Macaca mulatta: one gene and its partner. The protein of the gene in region 2 binds, or shares a complex with, the protein of the main gene of each other region. Links are inferred from orthologs where the notes say so. Each region holds a gene or a part of one and is shown on either strand. Other genes may lie near its edges. The genes, in order: CASP9 and APAF1.

Evidence for each region.
Region 1: the proteins of APAF1 (region 2) and CASP9 are in contact, whole or in part, in a crystal structure (PDB 4RHW), measured with the Homo sapiens proteins. The link is inferred for Macaca mulatta from reciprocal best matches to the Homo sapiens genes APAF1 and CASP9. Residues at the interface, in NP_863651.1 of Homo sapiens: Thr22, Ser23, Tyr24, Met26, Asp27, Ile30, Ser31, Ile37, Glu40, Glu41, Arg44; in NP_001220.2 of Homo sapiens: Asp23, Trp26, Asp27, Leu30, Arg36, Pro37, His38, Glu41, Gln44, Arg45.

What each region holds. Positions count from the first base shown.
Region 1 is NC_133406.1:225,535,343-225,539,158, forward strand, and holds part of CASP9 (caspase-9), read left to right. Parts: exon of another isoform or gene 1-424; coding exon 425-572; exon of another isoform or gene 573-850; intron 851-2,305; exon of another isoform or gene 2,306-3,816. UniProt on the Homo sapiens protein: Involved in the activation cascade of caspases responsible for apoptosis execution. Binding of caspase-9 to Apaf-1 leads to activation of the protease which then cleaves and activates effector caspases caspase-3 (CASP3) or caspase-7 (CASP7).
Region 2 is NC_133416.1:105,957,784-105,961,599, reverse strand, and holds part of APAF1 (apoptotic protease-activating factor 1), read right to left. Parts: intron 3,203-3,816; coding exon 3,090-3,202; intron 2,985-3,089; coding exon 2,853-2,984; intron 1-2,852. UniProt on the Homo sapiens protein: Oligomeric Apaf-1 mediates the cytochrome c-dependent autocatalytic activation of pro-caspase-9 (Apaf-3), leading to the activation of caspase-3 and apoptosis. This activation requires ATP. Isoform 6 is less effective in inducing apoptosis.

The DNA of each region.
Region 1 (3,816 bases), on a different chromosome or scaffold from region 2:
TTGAGCTGAATTGATTTAAAGCAGCCACTTTCAGCATTGAGCTGCCTCAGTCAGAGGGGCCTGGAGGACCAGACTGCTGATTAGGAGGTCTGGGTGGGGCCCGGGAATTGCATTTCTTACACGTTCCCAAGCCATATCGATGCTGCTGCTGCAGGGGCCAAACTTTGAGAACCACTGGTCTAGAGGCCACAGCCAGCACTCTCCAGGCACACTGTCTGGCCCCTAGAGGCACATGAGTTTGAGATGAGACCCCTGGAATAGATGCTGACTAGGGTCTTTCCAGAACCAACCTGCTCTGTCTCAATCAGCCTCATGCCCCTGGCTTTGACCTTCCAAATCCTTGGCCCCCACAAAACTTCTGAACAGGCTGTTGGATTCCTACTCCAACTTCTTGGTTTTGTAACCAGGGTTCTTGGTCTTCTAGGCCAGCCACCTGCAGTTCCCAGGGGCTGTCTACGGCACAGATGGATGCCCTGTGTCGGTCGAGAGGATTGTGAACATCTTCAATGGGACCAGCTGCCCCAGCCTGGGAGGGAAGCCCAAGCTCTTTTTCATCCAGGCCTGTGGTGGGGGTAAGCAGCTCCTTGGCCTCCCACTGGGTGGGTCTGATGAACAGGGAGCCACCACCTGCTTCTTTCTCCAGCCTGCCCCTCACAGAGCCCACGAGGTCTCTCCAGGCAGTCAGAGGGTACCACACGTGGTCCGTTTTTGGCAGCACCTCTGCCTGGCTGGAGCAGGCCCCGCTCTGTCGGCTCTGTAGAGGTTGGAGTCTTCAGTTTCATGGCACAGTGGCATCATGGGCTCGTGTAACTTTGGCAGCTTCAATTCCAGAGACTTGGCAAAAAAGAAACTAAACAGAAGAGAGAGGAGAAACCTCTTTTTATTTTTCTTGTCACCATTCCCCTGACCTCCATCAACCAAACCCCGTTTCCACTATCCCAGAGAAAGGGTGGCCACAGCTAAACTGCACGGAGAAACCAAAGAATTTAATTATTGGAATTTTCAAAAGCGTAGTTGTGGGGGTTTGAGGAATGTTTAGGGATTACTTGAGCTGGGCACAGTGTCTCATGCCCAACAGTTTGGGAGGCCAAGGCAGGAGAATTGCTTGAGCCAGGAGTTCGAGACCCGCCTAGGCAACACAGCGAGACCCTGTCTCTATTTTTGTTTTGTTTTTTAAAGAATTACTTGGATTATTTGTAGTTTTGCTATATGCTCTGATTTTAAACTTAACTCCTACTACAGTGTTACCTGATTTTCTTATAAAAAAGAGGGAAGAGAGGGAAACATGGGGATTCCTGGCTTGTGGGTCATGACAGGAATATCAGGGAGCACTAGAAATTCTGTCCCAGGGAGTCCCCTCTGCCCTAGACTCTCCACAGACTGGGACATTCAGAACGTATATCAGTTCCTTGCCTCCAGCCTGATCTGCCAGAGAAGCAGGCACTGTTACACCATAGTGCTGTCCAGCTTGTCCAGCTGTGACGTGGGCACCTGTGGTGTATTTCTCCTGCGCACATCCAACTGCCCCATCCCTATTCCACGTTGGCAGAGTTGGGTGGAGGCTACCTAGGAGAGCAGCCTCTGGTCACATCATTCATCCAGTAGGTGTTTACTGAGCACCAGCTGTATATACCAGGCTGTGTGTTAGGTGCTGGGGATAGGGGAAAACAGAGTTTCAGTCTCCTGGAATTTATAATTTGACATGAACTGTATTAAATCACTGTCATAACCCATGCCCATAACTTGACCACAAGTGATTGAGAACACTTGATTAAACCCTGGATCGGCTACTGACCTGTCTATCACATAATCCTAGGCCAGTTCATCTCTAGACATCTCAGCAAACGGGGAAAATAACAGAACCCACTCCCAAGCTCAGGTGATCCTCCCACCTCAGCCTCCTGAGTAGCTGGGGCTACAGCTGCCCACTACCACGCCCAGCTGATTTTTCTTTTTTTTTTTTTTGTAGAGACAGGGTTTTGCCATGTTGCCCAGGCTGGTCTTGAACTCCTGGGTTCAAGTGATCTGCCCACTTCGGCCTCCCAGAGTGCTGGGATTATAGGCATGAGCCACTGTGCCCGGGCAACTTTAATAATATTTAATGCACTAATTGGTGTGTGTACAGTGACTGGTTCATTTTAATAACTGAAAACCCAGACTGCTCCCCACTCCCACCCCGGAAGACCCAGTGACACATAAGAGCCCCCCACCCCACTGCCGCCAGCACAGTTGCCTCAGGACAGCAGTAATAGGAAGCAAGGAAGGCTGCCACTCTCGGGGCTATAGAAACCCTGCTCTGCCTCACCTCCTGTCTTGTCCATAGTGTGTGGTCCAGCAATGTTCTTCCTCTGGAGCCTGCGCTCCCTCTTTCTCGTATGAATCAAATGAAAGACAGAAAGGGCAAGGGAATTAGGAATGCAGGCTGAGCGGGCATACCTGCTTTCTGGACGGTTAGCTGTTCTTGTGCTCCTCCCATGCCCCATCCAGTCTCAGTCTCAACAGCGGAGGGCCTTTGTCACTTGAATATCTGCTGTCACTCTTAGGACTCAGTAGCAGGGCTTCCAAGGGCTTTGGTGACCTGGCCCCTGCCATTTCACCTCCCCCAGCCTGACATGCTCCAAGTCCCCCAGCATGGCCCAGCCTTCACAGGATGTCCAGGCTGTTGCTTGCTCTTCTACCTGATCCCCTGGCTAACTCTGTTTTTAAAATTCATTTTTACTTATTTTGTTTTAGAGATGGGGGTCTCACTATATTGCCCAGGCTAGTCTTGAACTATTGGGCTCAAGTGATACTCCCACCTCTGCCTCCCAAAGTGCTGGGATCACAGGCATGAGCCATCGTGCCTGGCACCTGGCTGACTCTTAATCATCCATCCTTCTGGTTACAATTTATTGTCACCACCTACAGAAGGTCTTCCCTAAACACCCCCTTTCTTGGCCAAAGTCAGGGTTAGCTGGCCTTTGTGCTCCTGCAGCCTCTGTCCCTCCCCTGCCATAGCACTGTCTCATTGTATTGAGCTAGGTCTGTCCCCTGGTCAGCTCCGAGTAGAGGGCAAGGCCTACCCCACAGCCAGGCCCCCAGCCTGGCACAGAGCCCACAGTCCCGTTGCACCTCATGTGAATTCTAATTTGAATTTAAAGGAGAACCATATAAAAGCATCTATGTGGTTCATGCCTGTAATCCCAACAGTTTGGGAGGCCGAGGTGGGAGGATCTCTTGAGACGAGGACTTTGAGACCAGTCTCTATAACAAATTTTGAAACATTAGCCAGGTGTGGTGGTGTGTGCCTATGGTCCCAGCTACTTGGGATGTTTAGGCAGGAAGATTGCTTGGGCCCTGGATGTCGAGGCTACAGTGAGCCATGTTTGCCTTATTGCACTCCGGCCTGGGTGACAGAGTGAGACCCTGTCTCTAAAAAAAAAAAAAACAAAACCAAAAAAAACTATGAGCCAAATTTGGCATAATGTAGATTTCCATCATTAAAACAAAAGTCAGAAAACAGCAAGATTTCAAAGCCAGCATGCAGTGATTAAGATGCCCATTTGGAGCTGGGTTCCTGCTTTGCCTCCGCAGGCTGCGTGACCTGGTGCTGTTACCACATGGTGGCGCCACGTCAGCTGAGAGCAGAAATAGAATGGTCTCCGTTCTCCACCAGTGCCTGGCGAGGTGTCTGTTTACATGCATCAGAACACCTGCACTGGGTTTTGAGGACTCTTGTATTGCTATTTTATAACTCACTATTGTAATAATTTAAAAATCATTTTAAAATAATAATTTAAAAACCCTCCAACATGTCATCCACCCCTTCATTAGGAG
Region 2 (3,816 bases):
ATCAAATCTGGCTAAGATGTCGTTACAAAAAAAAAAATACATATACATATATATATATATATATATATATATATATATATATATATATATATATATATATGCCAGCCTGAGCAACATAATGAGACCTTGTCTCTACTAAAAATAAAAATTAGAAATATCAGCCAGGTGTGGTGGTACGTGCCTATAGTACCAGCTACTTAGGAGGCTGAGGTAGGAGGATTGCTTCAGTCCAGGAGGCTGAGGCTACAGTGAGCCATGATGGCACCACTGCATCCCAGCCTGGGAAACAGTGTGAGAGCCTGTCTTAAATAAAAAAAAAAAAAAAGAATGATTAAATTTAAGGATATTCATCACAGCATACTTAGAACGGTGAAAAAAATCTTAAATAATGTAAACAATGTCCAATAACAGAGAAGTGGTTGAATAAATTAAGATATATCAATATTATGCCACTGGTAAATTTTTTTCAAAAAAATATTTAACAACATGGGAAAATGCTCAAGATATATAAAAAGGGTAAGGTCAGCCAGGCGCAGTGGCTCACACCTGTAATCCCAGCACTTCGGGAGGCCAAGGCGGGCAGATCACAAAGTCAGGGGATCAAGACTAGCCTGGCTAACGTGGTGAAACCTCGCCTCTACTAAAAATACAAAAAAATTAGCGGGGCATGGTGGTGGGCACCTGTAGTCCCAGCTACTCAGGAGGCTGAGGCAGGAGAATGGCGTGAACCCGGGAGGCGGAGCTTGCAGTGAGCCAAGATCACGCCACTGTGCTCCAGCCTGGACAATAGAGCGAGACTCCGTCTCAAAAGAAAAAAAAAAAAGGGTAAGGTCCAGCTGGGTGTGGTGACATGCGTCTTAGTTTTAGCACTTCAGGAGACTGAGGTGGGAGGATTGCTTGAGGGCAGAAGTTTGAGACCTGCCTGGGCAACATAGTGAGACCCTATCCCTACAAAAAAAATTAAAAATTACCCAGGTAGGTGGTGAGTATCTGCAGTCCCAGCTATTCAGGAGGCAGGGGCAGGAGGATTGCTTAAGACGAGACATTCAAGCCTGCGGTGAGCTGTGATCTTGTCACTGCACTCCAGCCTGGGTGACAGAGCAAGACCCTGGCTCTTCAAAAATAAGGGCAAGATCCAAAACTATGTATACATAATCTCAATTTTTAAAATCTTTGTTCTAAAAGACTGGAGGCAATACTCTCATGATGCTAATAATTATCAGATTATGGATAATTTCTATTTTTTTCTTTATAGTTTCACACATTTTCAAAATGGACATGCATCACCCTTTGTAATAACTACAAATCAAGCATTTTTCCTAAGTGTAAGATTTCTTCAAAAATAAACAAAACTGGCCAGGTGTGGTGGCTCAGGCCTGTAATCCCAGCACTTTGGGTGGCCGAGGCAGGTGGATCACGAGGTCAGAAGTTCAAGACTACCCTGGCCACGATGGTGAAACCCCGTCTCTACTAAAACTACAAAAATTAGCTGGGTGCAGTGGCACATGCCTGTAATCCCAGCTATTAGGAGGCTGAGGCAGGAGGATCACTTGAACCTGGGCAGCAGAGGTTGCAGTGAGCAGAGATCACGCCACTGCACCGAAGTCTGGGCGACAGAGTGAGACTCAGTCTCAAAAAATAAATAAATAAACAAACAAAACTGTGTCTCTATTTGATGGCAAAATGAAAAATAAGGTGGCCAGGTATGGTAGCTCATGCCTATAATCCCAGCACTTTGGGAGGCCGAGGCAGGCAATCACCTGAGGTCAGGAGTTTGAGACCAGCCTGACCAACATGGCAAAACCTCGTCTCTACTGAAAATATAAAAATTAGCCGGGCATGGTGGCACATGCCTGTAGTTCTAGATACTCGAGAGGCTGAGGCAGAAGAACTGCTTGAACCTGGGAGGCAGAAGTTGCAGTGAGCCAAGATCACGCCACTGCACTCCAGCCTGGACGACAGAGTGAGATTCCGTCTCAAAAGAGAAAAAAAAAGAAAAAGAAGAAAAAGAAGGTATTTCCAAGCATAGCAACAATGAAAGAAATAATTTTAAGAGTTGATAGATTTGACTGTATAAAATTTTAAGCTTCTATATGTCAAAAGAATACAACAAATAAAAAGTACACAAAAAACTGGGAAACAGGCTGGACATGGTGACTCATGCCTGTAGTCCCAGCGCTTTGGGAGGCTAAGGTAGGAGGATCATTTGAGGCAAGTAGTTCAAGACCAGCCTGGGCAACATAGCGAGATCCTATATATAAATTTTACATTAAAAAACTGTTTTACTGGGAAATAATACTTGTAAAAATATGACAAAGAGCTAATAGTTTCAATTTTTAGAGTATTTAGAAATAAGTTAAAAATGCTTATATCAAAAAAGAAAAGTGAGTCAAGGATAATTTCTTAAAGTCAAGGATAATTTCTTAAAACATATTCAATAAACAAGTAAAAAGTTTAACTTCACTAACGAAAAATGCAAATTAAGACACCAGTTTTAACTTACCAAATTAGAATACTATTTTTATAAAATCCCAAGCAAATACAAGTTTTAAATCTGATTCTCACTATATTTTTAACTCTGACAGCAGAGGTCACATCTGTGTCTCACTTCTCTCGCTAATGTGGTCTCTAACACACTGTGGGTAGATAGTAAATATTATTTTAATGAATAAATAAATACCATAACATCATGTATCCATTTAAGATATCAGAGAAGAACCTAAAATACTAAATCTCCCAGAAAAGTTCTTGGATGTTCATGTGCTAAGTTATCACATTTGTTAGCTTAATTTACAAAAGGGAAATTATATAACTCCCTATAACCTCCTCATAAACAAAATAAATAACCATACCTTTACATTCTTTTATAATACTATGAGCTTGTTCTGGCAAATCTGCTTTCTTCATATTAACAAAAAGGGATAAAATTTCAAGTCCTTTTTCTTTTCCTAAGGAACTCTCCACAGGGACTACATATTTAGGACCTGCAAACAAAAATCACAAGACAAAGTAAGTAATTTGGTATGCCACATATTTAAATGTAATTGAATTAAATATAAAGGTACTAAAAAGTTAATGAATAATCTTACCCATTACTGAATCTGTAACACTCTTGTCTCTGGTTGTAAGAAGAATCTGACACTGATTGTCAAAAGCTTTCAACACCCAAGAGTCCCAAACATCATCCAAGATCAACAGAGACCTAATTAAAAAAAAAAAATTAATCACTAATGACACTTATTTTAAGCTTCCTTTTAAAAAGATAATCACACCAGTGTCTTTTAAAATCTACCAAATTAAAAATTTTTTTAAACAAATAGATAGCTAGGTTTAGGAAAATGAGTCTTCCTCTTTGCTACACTCTTTTCTCAATATGCTGATTCAAATACGGAAAAAAAAAATTAGAGACTTCTTTCTCCTCAAACCCTAAATCAGAACATATTAAAATTACAGATCCTACCATAAAAGGTTCAGCCACCACTTACTGAGTGCCTTAAAAAAAAAAAGGGGGACCATTACTATCCAAGTAATGGGATTTTCCAACTCAGTCTTTAAGCAACAAAACCAAACTAGAACTGAGCTCAGGTTAGCATTAGAATGCATCATACAGTAACGATGATATGTAACCATTTTTTACCTATAAAACTAGCAATTTCAAATGTTGCAACCTAAAAGAACATTACCTTTCATACAAGTGGTTTTTTTTTAAACAATGTGTTTATTCATAGTAACTAAGAACCTCTATATCAATTCCCAATTGGTCTCTCTAAAAACTTTTCTAAACTCACTAGAACAGATGAAGGGAAAAAATATAAC